Linked DNA regions of Drosophila melanogaster. The protein of the gene in region 1 interacts with the protein of each later gene in a pairwise test. Each region holds a gene or a part of one and is shown on either strand. Other genes may lie near its edges.

Region 1 (4,652 bases):
AGTGTCTTTTCATTTCAGATGGGACACGCGCTAGATTCGTTTGAAAACTCAATGCAAAGAAGCGATAAAAATTGTTGCTATTTGCGTTCGTTTCAGTTTGCTCAGTCGGATTTTATGGCATTAGAAGTGCTGCGAAAACTAGTTAACAATTCCTTTACGATCCGCTAAGAGAGGCAAAAGGAGCGAAACTACTACTTCAACTTCTACTCCTACTTCTAATACTACTATCTGCATGGCGTTTTAAAAGTTTTCTTTTGTTTTGACATTATTTGGGAAATTGAAACTGTAATATTTGCAGCGAGAGCTGCGAGAGCTAAAGTTTGATTAAATTACGTTTTTACCATTTGGCTTTCGAGTTTTACAGCTGTTTACAAGTTGTATTTATTGTACTGGCAGTTTAAAAGTGCTGAACTGGCTTTTATTGTACTCGGTTTATTTTTTCAAGACAAATAACCAATAATAAAAGTCAGCATGGCATGGAGGTGATAAACTTGTAAAAGCAATTCAATTAGTTTTGATCATCTTCTGGCTTCTTAGTTACAAGGGAATCAACATCTCAGTGGGCAAACAGAAGGTGTTTTTTGTATCAGCATTCAATTAGTTTTAGAAAAATCATTTATTTTGTGGAAATTCGTTTTGGGTTAATATAAACTAAATCACTATCTTTTGTTTGATTTGATTAAGTTTTGGATTCGTGTATGTTTTTATTTATTTATAATTTTTTCTCTAAAGTTCCATGTCTTTAACCCAATCAATACAAACACATTCCCTCTGGACTTTATTGTTCTCGTTCGCTTTCTTTCATGTCGAGCAGGTTGCTTCATTAAATGGTTTCTGTAATTGCTGTTTGGCCACAAGTTTGTTTAATTGTTGGCTGCAATATGCGCTTACGGCATCGTCTCTTGTTGTATGCAACAAGCCGGAAAAACGTGCCACCCAGACGAGTGGTATGGTGTGGAGTGGAGTGGGCCAAGACCCAGGGCCAAGACTAAGTTCCAGACCAAGAGCAAGACCAAGACGGAGAGCGAGTCGAGACAGCAGAAGAAATGGTAGCAGGCAGGCAAAAGGCACAGCTTGGGCTAATTGTTAATGTGGCAGTGAGATGTGGGTGGTGCAACGTGGGTAGTTACCAACTGCAGTGGCCGTGGCAGTTAGAACCAGTTTGGTCTTTTTTGCCCTGGCCAAAAACCGGCGGCAAAGTCAAGTTCAATGCACATAAAAGACTTTACGGGTCTAGAAAGTGCTGGGGGTACGAGTGCTTCCTGGGCCACAAGGAAACTTGGCTGAAAAGAAATGCCAGCAATGGTCGCAAACTTTTTTTTTTTTTTTTCCATCCACTTAAATTGCAAATTTCCAGTTTCGATTGCAAATGCTGCTGGTGCATTTTCCTTTCGTCCCGGCAGTTGGATATGGATTCCAATGTCGATTCGGTTAGATAACCACAGCGGGCCTTCATAAAGACCGGGGTCATAAAATGGAGAGCGTTTTGGCCAAAAAGCACAAACAATCAATGCCAGTTGCATAACGAATTTTTGAGCAAAGATACTTTGGAATACGCTTTATGATTTTAATGCCTGGTAATTAAACGAAGTCTGGCCAGTATTCGCTGGTTTCCGGGCTAATTGAAGTTCAAGTGCAATGAAAATAAATTGCTTGCGAAATGTGCGTGCGCCAGGAAAATGAGAAGAAGCCCGCCATATGCAGTGACTGGCCGCGTCCATTTCCTGGCCAGAAAATGAAAATCGCTGCATCGAAGGCCGACACTTTTCCCAGGCCCACGCCCAGAAATTTCGCTCGAAGTCTCTCCACTGGCGCTTGTTGTTTTCACGCCTCGATGGCCCTTGCAGTTGTCGGTTATTTATATTAAAATTTCAGAATGATGAACCCGACCCGAAACGAACCGACCCCATGTACTTACCATTAAGGTGGGGATGCCACCGCCGCAGATAGCCATTTCCATTTTCCTTGGATGTCGGCGGAAGTTCGGGCAAATGAGGCGTCAAGTTGCACGTTGCACTTTTCGCGTTTCCACAAAAGTGGCAGCTCAATTTGTAATTGTTGTTGAAATTTCTGTTATTCTCCCACGCTGTTTTTCGCCGTCTTGGTATTTTAAATACAAATTGTAAATGAGTTTGTTCAGCGTTGAACCTTATTGTTTGTTTGTCGGACCTGGAAAAGTATTCGTTCAGTTTGGTTAACTATCACAGCAGCTAATTGCGAAAAGTGCTTTTCAAATTCTCATATTAACTGTTTTAAACATTTCCCCATAATTATGAAACATCATAATTAACAAATTAGTAAAACAAAAATCATTATATGGTACTTTAACAGATGACACATCTGCAAAGGCTGTGTTAAATGAGTACTTTTTAAAACTATGAAGGCAGAAAAATAGTATCCTGCGATTTCAAAAATTCCTGTTCTTAGAAAATCAAATGAATGACAAATGAATGAATTATGTTTAATGAGAATTATTTCTGATCTTATATTCTTTACCAAAATCTTTTTCATTAGTAACTAAGAGATTTTTGAGATAAAACAAGACCATAAAATCTAATTTAACAAATTTAACTATCTAACTAATCGTTTTCGTTATTCGTCCTTAGATGTTTCACTTATAAGTTTCACTTTTGTCATTCAGTAAAATATTCATTAATTTGCTCGACGTTTAACTTGATGCGTTTATATTTTTTTGATTTAATTTATTTTAAGGTATATTATATCCTTGTTAGCCAGCACTTTGGTTAAATGTAATGCAAGCTCTTTATATTTTTTTTTTTTTTACAAAATGATTTTCTCATATCCTTTGCGGAGAAAAGCAAACTTTGACTATATTCATTCAACTTTGTCTTTGAGCTTTGTTTAAACTTGCTCGTCGCAGTCCTCGTTCGTTTCTCATTTATTTAATGCGACTTTTAATTTGAGTTTTCGTTTCGTTTCGTTTCGCTTTGCCTTGTTTACTTTTGGCTGGAAAAACTGTGGAGGAAAACCGCACGCTTGCGCGCTGCTGTTGCAACTGTGCCTCGAATTTTCGCGCCACTTGAGTTTTGTGTGTGTTCGGGGCCGCGCAGTTTTCACGGAGACAGCCGGTTTGTTGTTGGCTCGCTTTTCGCTGCCTCGCTTTTCCCATTTTCCATTTCCATTCCTTTGCCTTTGCCGAAAAGACTCGGCCATGTCTGGCGTATTGCTGTTGCATTTTCCATATTTTTTCTCCTCCTTCTTTTTTTTTTGAATTTTATTTTTTTATGTGTGGGGCATAATAAGCTGCTGATTAAATTTGCAACGCTCAGAAGGAAGTCGAATTTGCAATTTATTCGGGGAAATTCATTTGCATTCCAAATCTGTGGGGATAAATGGAAATTAGACAGGTGCTACGATGCCAAAAATGATTTTACCTATATTAATTGTTACATTTTTTATAAATTCCAATGATTAAGAGTTTATTAAAGTTGTCTTTATATTTGATATATATATTCTTCAAACAGAGCATTTCTTTTTCGACTTTTGAAAATTGAAAACCTCACCACTCACTTGATATTTGTCTTTTAGCTGGCTGCATTTCGAGCTGCTTTTTTGGCCATGGCTTTGGCCAAGGCGTTAGCCAACTTTTGACCATCAACATTTGCACAATATGCGCTGTTGCTGTGCTGATGACAACGAAATGTACAAGTTTTCCTACCATCTGTGTGCATTTTTCTTTATTTTTTACGAGGGCTTAGAGTGCGTGCGTCTGGGGATAAAACTGAGCTCAGTGCCGTCATGGTTGTATAATTAATTTATTAATGGCAACAAGTGAAATGCACTGCCACGCATTTCCTATAAGGCTTGGCCCAGCCTGATTATGTGATTTATAGGAACTTATATATTTATAAGTTTGATATTGATATTTATATTTGATTTATAGAACTTATACCCCTTGGTTGGTGTGATGTGGTGACTGGTGGGTAAGAGAGTGCTAACCCCTGGGAAAGTTCAACTGCAGATATTATGCAACAGGCAACCGCGAGTCACGCACGCGCTGCCGCAAATGAAGTAGCTGACAAATTATCTTTATTTCATTTTATATTATTTTATTGCAGCCCATGGTGGGACTTTAAAGCGGCTTAGAGTGGCGAGGTCGGACTATCTGTTCGAGTGCATCGAAACCTGGGCCAGATGCTGAGCTGATTGGGGATTTTTGGCTATGATTGGTGGTTACCACGGGAAAGAGAGTGAGAGAGAGAGGGGGGGAGGCGGCTTTTGGCACTTTCACATTTGTTTTTGCTGGTGTTGAAATTGAGTTATTAGAGGAGAGCCATGTAAGCGACCAGGGGCGTATACTTAATATTTAAGCAAGGGGGGGGGGGGGGTAATATTCCCAGCTTACTAATGAATACATATAATTTTTATCAATTTTATAAAATCGTTTCTTTTTCATGACCAGAGCTTTCGACATCACTTTCTTTACCCCTTCCGCCGAGAGTCTTAATTCCACACCTCTGGGCACGTTCCTCGGGCAATGTGCCAACCTCCTACCGAAAGCCACATAATTGCTGTAATCGCGGTGGAGATTTGCAATCTCGTAATAAATTCAGACACCGAAGATGCGCCAGAAGTTGGAGGAGCCGCTCCCTCCGGCCGGAAACCCCCATGTGGCCACCAGATGCGTCGCC
Region 2 (7,860 bases), 830 kb from region 1:
TTGTAATACTTCAACATGTTCAATTAGCCTAGTGTACATACTAAATTAAAGCCTAACAATTATCACTCCAGTTCGCTGTGTTAGCCCGACACCTGTTGCATCAGATAGAGATTGGCGTAGATTTTGTTCAGTGCCATCAACTCATCGTGGGTGCCGTGCTCCACTACCACGCCGCGTTTTAGCACACAGATGAGATCCGCATTCCGCACGGTGGTCAGACGATGCGCAATCGTCAGGCATGTGCGGCCTGATCTCGCCTCATCCAGCGCCTGTTGCACCACCTTCTCGCTCTCCAAGTCCAGCGCAGAGGTGGCCTCGTCCAGGATGAGTATCTTCGGGTTTCTAACCAGGGCTCGAGCGATGGCGATGCGCTGCTTCTGACCTCCAGAGAGCTGCGATGTCTTGCCCAGTCGGGTGTCGTAGCCTTGGGGCAAAGCACTTATAAAGTTGTGGATATTCGACTTCTTGGCCGCCTCAATAATCTCCTGCATGGACACATCGTCACGGAAATTGTTGCCATAAGCTATGTTCTCGGCAATGGTGCGATCGAAGAGCACGGGTTCCTGCGAGACCAGGCCCAGCTTGGAGCGCAGTGTGTCCAACGGGAATTCCGTGCTCGGCACTCCGCTCAGATTCACGGATCCCGATACGGGATCGTAGTAGCGAAGCAGCAGTTGCACGCAGGTGGACTTGCCGGAACCAGATGGACCCACCAGAGCAACCGTCGTCGATTTCTTGATGGTGAGATTTAGGCCCTGCAGAATGGGAGTGCCCTTCCTGGTGGGATATTCGAAGCCCACGTTTTCATAGACAATGTCTCCCTCGGATTTCTAAAAAAAAACAATCAAATTTGAGTTTCCAACATAATGTACGGTTTCGATTGGCGAAATGTTGACTTACCTCAACTGTATTGTAGGGACTCTGTGGCGGATTGGGCTGCGTTGAGGTGCGCTTGAAGAGATCCATTAGGCGTCCGGCGGACAGAATAGCATCGTTTACATTTGGCGCGTAGGCCAGGGCCTGTCCCAACATCCAGGAGCCAAAGATCAGAGCCTCGGCCACCTTGATGATGTCCTCATAGTTCATTCGCTCCTCTGCCACCAGAATACCACCATAGTACATGGAGATGCCGTAAGCCAGGAAAGGAGCCGCCTGTCCCAAAGCGAAAACCAGACCACGGAAGCGAACCTTACGCCTGCAGGCGATATCCACGCGATCGATCTGCTGAACGTATTGATCCAAGACCTGGCGCTCTAGGCAAAGACCATTGACCGTTCGGATATTGGTAATAGCTTCGACTGCCACTTGAGAAGCCTCCTCGATCGACGCCTTAGCCTTCTGGGCGCTCTTCATGATAAAACGGCCCTCCAAGTAGACGGACAAACAGACCAGGGGCAGGGTGACCAGTGTGAGGAGCGTCTGTTGCCAGGAGAAAACGAAACCGACGACCATTCCAACCACAAGAGTGGCCACGGCCTGGAGCATTGTGCCCACACGAGCTCCGGTTGCCTGGAATAAGGAAAAAGCGTTAGATATTTAAACATATATAGTAAAAAGCAGTAGCTTGGAATAGCAGTGCTTCTGCATGGTTACCCTCAATCTTGAAACTTACACCCTGAACGTTGGAACAATCGCTGGCCAGCCGGGAGCACAGTGCTCCCACTGAATTTCGCTCGTCATCGAAGTAGGCAATATCCTGACCAATAATCGTTCCAAAAGCCCTTTTACGCAATCGCGTTGTCATCTTCACGCCGGCCGTTGTGAACATGTAGGTCTGGAGCATGTTGCCCAATCCGGCCATCAAGCCAATGCCCACAAAGATCATGGAGATTTTCAGGACCTCGGCTCGCACAACGTCATCGTCACCGTCCGAGAGGATTCCAAAGAAGTCGCCAAAGAAGAGACCCCAAAGCGGGAATGTGGCGCCATGCATTACGGATGCAATGCCTCCGACGACAATGAAACGCCACTCCGGAGAATTAAGCTTCATTAGTTGAGTGAAGGACACCTTGGATACCACTTCCTTGTCCTTCTTCTTCTTGCGACGCTGCGAGCGACCTGTTAATTATTTGAATTGGATTTTAAAGTTAATATATATAATATAGTGCACGATTTTATAGAACTTTTAATTTTGCATTTGTTTTTATTACTTATTTTCTTTACTTAATATCGAATTTAAGTCTTGGTACTTGGGTTAGTAAAAGCATTAAATATTCCAACTTCTGGTACTTACGCTTGCGTCGCGTGCTGGCTCTGAATCCGCTGTCCCTGGAGCTGCCCGAAGTCTGCAGCTCCGGCTCTTCGTCCTCCTCTTCATCTTCCTCGTCATCATCGGTTTCCTCGTCAGACAGGTTCTGCGACTTCTGCAGAGGTCGCCCGGCAACCGCTCCCTCGTCCGCCTCCGTGGCCTCCTTCCGCTGGGTGATGCTCACCAGTTCGCAGTAGAGACCACGTCGCTCCATGAGCTCCTCGTGCGTACCCTGCTCCGCCACTACACCGTCCTTGAGGAAGACAATCTTGTCGGCATTGGTGATGGTGGACAGTCGGTGGGCCACAACTAGAGTGGTTGGTCCCTGGCTGGCCAGTTCTAGGGCACTTTGCACCCGCTTCTCAGAGGTGGGATCCAGGGCAGAGGTGGCCTCGTCGAGAAGAAGCACTTGGGGCTGTCGAACCAAAGCCCGGGCAATGGCAATCCGCTGCTTCTGGCCACCAGAAATCTGAGCGCCCTTCTCGCCCACCTGGGTGTCGTAGCCCTTGGGTAGGCGAGTGATGAAATCATGACAGTTGGCCGCTCGCGCCGCCTTCTCTATATCCGCCTGAGTGGCCGATGGTCTTCCGTATCGGATATTCTCGCCAATGGTGGTGGCGAAGAGAACCGGTTCCTGGCCCACCACTCCGATCTGCGAACGCAACCAGCCCACATTCAGTGTTCGAAGATCCCGTCCATCCAGTTTGACACTGCCCGCTTCGGGGTCGTAGAACCGCTGCATCAGTTGGATGAGGGTGCTCTTGCCACACCCAGATGCGCCCACGAAGGCCACCGTCTGACCCGGAAGCACATCGACGGTCAGACCCTTGAGGATCTCCACATCCGGACGGGCGGGGTAACGGAAGCGTATGCCCTCGAAACGAATGTGTCCAGCGGTATTCTCCGGCCTGTTTCCCTTCTCGTCCATTGGATCCACCTGCGACGGACGATCGATGATGTTGAACAGGGTCTGGCCAGCTGCCGTGGCCACAGCAATGGCTTCCACGTGTGGAGAGGCAAAACCGAGATTCTGGGCACCCATGATCACGGCGAACAGGACAATGACCAGAACGGCCGGAGTATAAACGCGATCGGGAAGATCACGCTCGTCCAGAATGAGCGTCACACCATACCAGATGGCAAGAGCCATGCACAGGTAGATGATCAGCCAGGACAGTGCGTTTCCCATGCCCGAGTATAGACCCTTCTTGCGACCCGTATTCTCTGCGGGAATGAGCAGCTTGCCAAAGCGTTCCTTTTCCTTCTCCTGACCACTGAATGCGAACACTGTGCGAATTCCACTGAATACCTCCTCGACCACGTTGGCTGCATCGGAGTAGGACTTCAGCTCCTTCTCGGCCAGCGATCCCTGGAGTCGAGCCACCACACTGGTGGCTGCAATGATGAAGGGCACACAACTCAGAACGACCAGGGTGAGCTTCCATCCGTAGACGAAAGCAGACACTATTCCAATCACAAAGGTCATGATCAGGAATACCACAATCACTATTTTCTCGCCAATGCCTTCCTTCAGTTTGTCCAGGTCTCTGCAAATTCCAAAGAAAAAAATCGAGGAGTTATAAAAATACTCTAAAGTCTTTAGAATTTAATTCTAGAATTAAAAGGAATTTGAATAAATACATTGTAAAATTCGCACAAAAAAAGTTCACGTCACTGGCATGAGATATTTAATTTATTTAAAAACTTTCAGGTGGCTTCCTAAAATTGTCTGGGAATCGCGATAGTGATAAATTGTTTCAATCATATTTAAACCATATTGATGTTAATAAGTCCGATTGCTACTATGATTGCGTAATTTTCTAGCTCTGCTAATGAATATTCAATTGATATGGTTTTTATAATTTGTTTAATGCAATAAGATTCGGATTATACGCTTATTAATAATTATATTATTTGAGACGAAACTCACTCTGTCATTTTGCTGGCGAAGTTGGAGCCCGAACTGGTGTCGTACCAGGCGATGTCCTGTCGCAGCATTGCCTCCAGGAAGAGCTTTCGGATGCGATCGATTTGGTTGAGGGCTATCCGGTTGGCCAAGTCGATGGCCAGTGTGATGAGCAGGAACATGGCCACAGATCCCACCAGACTGCCAATGCCAAAGGCAGTCGCATCATCAATGATCGCCTGGTTGTTCTCCTCTTTGCTGGCATTTGTCCTGAACGAAAATTTGACGTTATAACATAATCCTGGACTATCTTATGATTAAGAACTTACAATTGCTGACCGCCACCAAACATGGGCAGAGCAAAGGCTGGCGAGGATGTGCCCACGCCGACTGTTCGGTCCACGAGCAGGGATGTGAACTCTCCGTAGATAATCATGAAGTAGGGAATAAATGCGGACGCAGCGGTGGCCACCAGCAGACTGACTACCAACAGGAAGCGCTCGCATCTGGTTGAGTATCTGAACTATAGAGGCGAGACCAAAAAGGATATAGAACCTATAACGATGCTGATGCGGAGTCACCACTCACCAGATCAAAGTAACTGTACTTTCGGGTCGCATCCACGACTGATCCTTCCTTAAGCTGAAAGTCACCAGCTTGTGGCAGCCGTGATTCCTCCTTCTTGACCATTGTGTCTATGAGGCGATACTGCAGTAAAGTATCTCTATACTCGCTATAGCAATTAAGCCTAAGAACAAAGTTAACAATTAGTAAACACAACATTTTGTGTGCTGGCCTGATATCTAAGCTCTAAATTGGGGTCTATAATTTAGAGTGTATCAATTAAAGAACTTAACCACGAGAACCACAAACACACCCAGTTGCTCTCGCTTTTTATCTGCAAACTCGACTATAAAAGCCTAATTACTATCTTCTTAATTCTAATTCACAAAAAGAGTTCAGTGCTCTTAAGGCAAACATGTTATCCCAGGAAAGTTACTGGGGAGATTAACAAAAGTATGATTGAATTTTAAAAAATATTTCAACTCTTCAAAGAATTCAGGCTCAGATTTAACATAATGTTATGAAATAAATTTCTAGAACTTTATCTTCTTGCATTGCCACTATTTTATAATAATAGTTTGACATTCGTTTTTTCTTAACAAGAAATACTTGCACTTTTCTTGCACTTAATTAAATGGAAATCAATGTATCTCAACATCTTGGAAACACGTAATTATAATACCATTAAAATAACTAATGTTGATAAAAATGGTAGCAATTATGACGCTTAAGTGTGTGATAATTAATGTATCTTTACGTGTTACATAAAATATATTGTAGAAATTATTCGACGCAGAGCAAAGGGCTGATTAATCAGCAAAAACAATTTTCCCAAGTCAATTTAAGGAAATTAGCTCGATTGCGCGAATGAAAAACAAGCGTACATAAATTAATAAATTAAGCGCAATTGGAAAGCGAGATATTTGTGTGTTGATTGCGATTGTCAATTGCGAACGGCTTGCACTCAAGATCCAAGGAACTGGGTATAATAGCCCACTCCTCAGCTACTCAGATTCGATTCAATCTTATTCACTTGTCGACGAAACGCACTCATCGAATGCATCGAGAAACTGAATCAATTAATGGAAATTCACTTGCGCTACATGGCACTTACTTAGCACGTGCCGATCTTCCGTGGACACTTGGCAAACTGATGAAACTCGCGATCGTCTGAAGACTTTATATATGTATATATATACATATATCTATATTTCCTCTGGCTCTATTGGCACTGGGAAGTGCTCAAGAAGACGTCTGCAGCCGACGAGTGCGCGATCTGAACTGGACTAACACAAAATCGAATGGTTGCGACGACAGCTCGGTGCCAGAATCTCGGCTCTCGGTTCTCGAGCGGCAACAAAGTCGATCGTATAACTAATCGGGATTCCCGCCTGGCAACCCGCCTGTTCCTCGCACTCGTCCAGGCGGCGGGAAATACTGGTTCCTAGTCGCTGGTCCTGTAACCAAAACAGAGCCATAAAGACGATGCAGATTAGATTGATTAGACAGTTATGTTGTACGTACATACCATCGATTCGGCGTAAGTTTGTTATCAGTCTCTCGTAACCGGTATTTGTTTACTGACCCAGCGTGTCCATAGATGCAGTGGAGTCGGGTCTTTTTTGGCCAAAACAAAAACGGACTAAGCGTAATCCATTTGCGCGCATGGTTTTCCCCGCGCAAAAGATTTTAAGCTGAATTCGCCAGATCGGGGGACTAACCGAGAGGAAATCTGTATCTGTATCGCGTGCGAAAGTCATGATTCATACCGCCGCTCAGGTGTGCCGTGAAATACCTGGATGCTTAAGCGTGGTAGCGGCATTCTTACGCTGCCCAGCGGCGACTTCCCCAATCCAAATATATCACACTACTTGGTGTGATAAAATACAAATAATGTTGTTTTCAGATTTTGAGATATCGTGGGGCATGGTAAACTTCTTTTGCAATGGTTTGTCGGTATTTCACCATTTCAGTTGAAAAGTATTTCAAAGAGGGTAGTGTCTCCAAGCAAAACGATTTGGAAAACAAAAAATTTCCAAAGGGATCTCATCTGCAATCTAATCGACAGTTGTAAGCACTCGAATTGCCCATAACGGCACTAAAATAAAATATATGTATATACGTGTGCTATCAAAATGTTATTTAGCAAGTCAGATAAGCCGAATTGTGGCCAATTTAGACAAGGTTAGTCCAATAGATAATTGCGGCCAGGTATGGTGTTTTCAACCATTTGGCATCATATGGCGAAATTATTTTGGAAGGCGTTTAAAATCGTTTCCATTCAAATGTTCTCTTGGTTACGGACCTAGTCCAATGCGACTATGTTATCTACGGCAAACCAGATTAGTGTTCTAAAAATTCGTTCATATTTATAGACGTGGGATAGAACTTGAACAAAGGTGTATATCAAATATTGGCGAAAGTATTTGTTGATTTACTCAGTGGCGAGTTGCTTATTTTCACAATCTTTGATCTGACTTTTGGGTTCATTTTTTAATATTTAATGAGCTTCCATTACTTCGTATCAACAATGCATTTTTGGTCTGACAATATATATTTCTGTTAAAATTACATTAATTATGTTAATGGGTTTCGAAGTAATAAGTTTAATAAAGAACTGAAATTTGTTTAATTTAAAAAATTAATTGCTTAAAGTGCATATCATTAAAAAAACACATTAAAAGCGTGAAAATATTAAAATATGTAGAATGTGAGTTTAAATTCAAGTTTAAATATTCAAGTTTTTCTGACGGTGTATTTCCAGAGTGCGCATTATGACGCATTCGCTCATATTTACTCTTACCTGTTTCGCCTTTCTCTTTCTTCTCTTTCATCTTGTGCGCCGAGTTGACGTCGAAAAACCAGAATCGTTTAAGAAATCTTGTGTTGGCCAATAACGGATAGTTGTGGGAAATGCCAGATTTGTCTAATCGTTAAAACCCGTGTGGGTTCAAGGAGGTTTTCAAGCATATGGGGTTCTTTGCTAAGCTGGGAATACAGCGTTTTTAATTCCGCACATTAAGCCAAGTTTACTATTCTACGTGATACAATATTATTTTGACCTTAAACTCTCGTGCCCGCAAATCGTTTACTTACCATCTTCTAATTGTAATTTCTATGTTAAGGCGGAAGAACTTTGTTC
Region 3 (4,221 bases), on another chromosome or scaffold:
CCGCGTATGTGAGTGTTGCAGTTCGGGTTTGAGTTCAAAGCCAGAAGCAAAACTTTTAGGACGAGACGATCGTTTATGGATCAATAAATATACAATTTATCCCATTTAATTAGTTGTTATTGGTGTAAAACTGTCCGAATATCAAAACATGTTGTGCCGCGCGCATAAATTCATTTCAATCGCTACGAAAATAGGTTTTTACGATGCCACCACCATCGTCCCATCGCCTTCCCTGTTCTCCACCGAGTAACTTGGCGTATCTGAATCTGAATTTGAATTTGTATCTGAATATCCCCCACTTACTGTATTGCTTTTTTTCGCTCATCTGGTTGTTGTGCTTGTGCCTTTGCTTTTCGTCTCGGGACTTAATTTATGGCTCGCATTTGCCTTTTTGGCAATATCACAAGCGGCCAAGGAGATGAATATAATAATAAGTCTCTGTGGATATACGACTTTCCAGATACTCACAGCATACTCATCAGAATAGCTCAAAAGTATGCAGTCATTTAATAGTTGTGTATTTTATTTAACTGGTAACAGAAAACAAGAGAAACAAAGAAACAATAATTTAACAAGTTAACAAAACTATGGGATTTGAATTAGTATTCTAATGGGATTTTGTGGTTAAGTCACTCCTATCCTATACAAAATATATACTTAAAATTCTATGCCAGCAGCAAAGTCGCTGCATTCTAATCCATTGTGGAGTTCAGTCTCATGAACTCCTCGTTGAGCAACGCCATATTCGTGGAGTGCGTGTTGGCTCCCTGCTCGCCCAGCTGCAAGTACCTGTCCCAAATAAAGCACTTGAACGGTGTCATCGTCGGATCTGACCGGGTCCAATCGTACATCTCTGACTTCCAAACGTTCTTCACGCTCACCTCGAACTGGCAGTAGTAGCAACGTAGGTTCTGCATGCTCAAGTCGGCCACGCCGTAGGAGCATCGGGTGCACATAGTGCAGGTGTACTTGAAGCTATCTATGCAGTTGTCCTCGATGGTGGGTGCCTCCGGCAGGGCCATCTTCGCCTGGTAGGCCCACCTGCGGCAATTGTCGCCGTGACCCAACTCCCGATTGAACACAAATGCCGCCACGTGGCACATCTCGTGCAGCAGGCAGCGGATTAGCTCCGCCGTAGTCTTTATACTCCGCAGAAGTAGAATCTTGGCTCTGCGCTTACCATGGGCATCGACGGTCAGCTGGCATGTGCATCGCGTGTGCATTGCGTGCTTCCAAACAATGGGCACCTGAAGGCCACAGTGGAAGATCGCGTGGTTGAAGATGTTGAACAGCACTTTGGCCAGTGCCACCTTGCAGATTTTGAAATTGTTTTGCCTGTAGGTGAGCGCCAGTGGATGGCACATATTGAGCGAAATCGAAGGGCTGAGCGAACGAACGAATCCGTAGAACTTTGGATGCCGCTCCAGGCATGGCACACTGCTTTTGTGACGTCGGCAGTTGGCGGCCAACTGCTCTTCGTTGGGTAAATCGATAAGATCAATGGGCTCCTTATGCAAGTCCGGGGTGCACTGATCAAAGGAGAATGCAATGGACCAGAGCTCAAAGTCATTTTTGCTTTTAGCCTGGCTCTCCTCAGGGGTCGGTTCATCGATATTCGACAAATTAAGCTTTGACCAAGTGGATGTCATCATTGTTTTCGGACGAATTGGTTGCTCGGCTGATGGAGTAAATGGCTCTGCGGACGCATGGGATGAATTGACGACACAATTGATATTCTCAATATCCTCCGGCTTCATATCGTAAACCACCGCAGGATTGTAGAGCTTGCGGCGTGATGGTATCAGACCCAAAAATTTGTGCATCTTCGTTTTAAGTTGCACATCGTCTTCCAGCTTGACGTTGGGCTGTGGCTCGTTCCTAACGATAATGATTTTATCGCCCAACTCGAGATAGACCAGCGGCGGCCTTTTGCGACCCGTCCACTCGGGCTGCTGATACTCCTCGTCGTCGGCATCATTGGAGTCCTCCTCGCCATCGCCCTCCGACTGAGAGGATGAGTCGGAAAACTGTTGGATGGACATCTCGTCTAGATTTCGGCGGCACTTATTTTTAACACACCCATGGCCTTTGGTCACCGGCAAGTGCCGTTTCACTGGCAACTTCTGTATTTCCATGTCGGTATCCATGGAACTACGACTGCTGTCGTTCATATCATCGAAGAAATCGGAGAGGTATCCTTGATGAATTTCTGGTGCAGCTCCCAAAGTCGGAGGTGTTTGGAGCACGGATTACTTGAAATTAGTTTGATTGCCTGGACTGATGGCTAAGTCATAGGCTACCTGTGCGCCTTTGGTCTGCAGTCCTTGGTTGGGTTGACCACGCTGTCGTCCGGATTTGTATTTGATTGTGCGGACATCTCAAATGCGAAATCGATTCGAAAGTCCTGGAACCGCCCACAGCAAACAACACTTTCCAAACTAACCATCTGCACATTGTTAGGCACAGGCTGAAAAGCTTAAAATAAATTCTAGAAACGATTGGATTGGATTTTCACATATGCCGCCGTTTATTGGATGCACTCTATTACACGTGCGGATATTCGGTCTGTTGTTTTCCATCTCTTAGTAACTAAACAAAATGGGAAAGGTTTCTGGATGGATAAACGATGAGTGGGTGGGTGTACAATGAAGGTGTATACATGCCATGTCTAATGTCTAACGAACTGTCTAGCACTGAAGTTTGATTCGTGAGTGTGGGTGGGGTGGTGGGTGTATAAAAATGTCTATAAAAGTGCCGCCATAAATCAAAGATATTGGTGAAGAATTGCAATAGTCGTCTGCTTCCAAAACATCACTTGTTCAGATTCTGCTCATGCCGATTTCAGTGGTATATGCTTTTTGATTACCTAAAAGTAAGATCGAGATTGAGAGATTGGAACATTTATAAACATTATCGATTCGACCGCCCAAACTGTTTACAATTAAATAATAATAAAACGAATATCAATTAAGAAGCGTGTGAAATACGTCAGACGGCATGCAAATTTAGTTAGCGGCTGAACGATTTTGTTTTCATTTTATTTGGATTTTTCGGTATCGATCCATCGCCAGGAGCGGCCGCTGAATCATTCGGCAAAAACAAATCGCCCCCGGAACGCATGGAACTCGATTTCCGCGATTAAGGCCAATGAAATAAAAGGAAATCAATTAAGCCATCAACTGATGATAGCCAACACCTACCTCGGAGCACATGTTCTTGTAGATCTCATCGGTGTCCCAGGGTCCTCTCTCCGGCAGAGCGATGCCTCGCCTTCGCAGCTCCTGGACGCAGTCCGTCAGATCAAAGATGGGCAGTGGATCGATGCCAGCCTTGGCAACCTTGCCAGCCAAATACTCTACGTAGTGGGTGCTTAAATGATATAGAAGTATATTGGTTGAAAAATATGATTTTTCGGGGATTTCCCGATATTAAACTTACCGACACATGCCAGCGTGCTTGTCAGGAACTTCCGTGTTGCACACTGTGTCGACTAGTCCTTGCGGCGTCTCCTTTTGCAGCGGGATCGGGCAGCGGGCCTGGGCACGAGCCTTGGACGAACTGCTGGACTCGTCCTTGATCTGCATGGGTTCCGTGTCGAATTTGACGTTTTGCTCCTTGAGCAGGAACTGCAACTGAAGGGGGATTTTATCCCTCAGGTAGAACAGGCAGTTGCGCGGATGATGGGCATGGAGACCGAGCTTGGCACAGTATGTGGACACAGTGCACTTGGCACCCATCATGAAGGGTCGGGCACATCCGTAGCAGAACTCGAATTTGCACTGAGTACAGGTAAAATGCATGCATCCGCCTCTGTATAGGTTGAACATTGAACTTGTAAAAGATACAACATACTGATATTTCTGTATCTGAACATACCTGGCCAGCGAGTATCGGAACTTGCACTTGGGACAGTCGATGCCGTTTTGGGCCAAATGCTCCTGGACACCCTGGGCCTGCAGCTCGGGATCGTTTTCGCGCTTCCATTCCAGATAAGCTTCGCAGCTACTGCCCTCGTGCTGGCGCTCCCAGGGCTTTCGGCACTGGGCACAGGTAACGGATCCACAGTCCGGACAAATCAATCGCTTCTGCTTGGGCCGAGCGAAGAATCCGGACGAGCACTGGATGCACCACTTGAAGTTGGGATCCTGCAGCAGCGAGCGATCGCGCAACTTGCGCTGGAACAGTTCGTGCACATCGTTGTCCAGGATGCTCTTCAGGAAG

Evidence for each region. The genes of interacting proteins can lie anywhere in the genome.
Region 2: the proteins of Cpr50Ca (region 1) and Mdr49 interact in a two-hybrid assay, tested with the Drosophila melanogaster proteins (one large-scale study listed by BioGRID).
Region 3: the proteins of Cpr50Ca (region 1) and CG11322 interact in a two-hybrid assay, tested with the Drosophila melanogaster proteins (one large-scale study listed by BioGRID).

What each region holds. Positions count from the first base shown.
Region 1 is NT_033778.4:13,768,283-13,772,934, reverse strand, and holds the start of Cpr50Ca (cuticular protein 50Ca), read right to left. Parts: upstream 3,021-4,652; 5' UTR 2,962-3,020; intron 2,170-2,961; 5' UTR 1,961-2,169; coding exon 1,919-1,960; intron 1-1,918.
Region 2 is NT_033778.4:12,940,344-12,948,203, forward strand, and holds the start of Mdr49 (multi drug resistance 49), read right to left. Parts: upstream 6,005-7,860; 5' UTR 5,833-6,004; intron 4,903-5,832; 5' UTR 4,845-4,902; coding exon 4,743-4,844; intron 4,678-4,742; coding exon 4,484-4,677; intron 4,425-4,483; coding exon 4,179-4,424; intron 4,046-4,178; exon of another isoform or gene 3,890-4,045; intron 3,796-3,889; coding exon 2,234-3,795; intron 2,059-2,233; coding exon 1,613-2,058; intron 1,510-1,612; coding exon 901-1,509; intron 831-900; coding exon 81-830; 3' UTR 1-80.
Region 3 is NT_033779.5:6,757,360-6,761,580, forward strand, and holds CG11322 (uncharacterized protein), read right to left. Parts: upstream 2,270-4,221; 5' UTR 2,136-2,269; coding exon 693-2,135; 3' UTR 505-692; downstream 1-504. Other genes in the region: LUBEL (linear ubiquitin E3 ligase), read right to left, coding at 2,831-2,866, 3,201-3,369, 3,439-3,810, 3,877-4,221.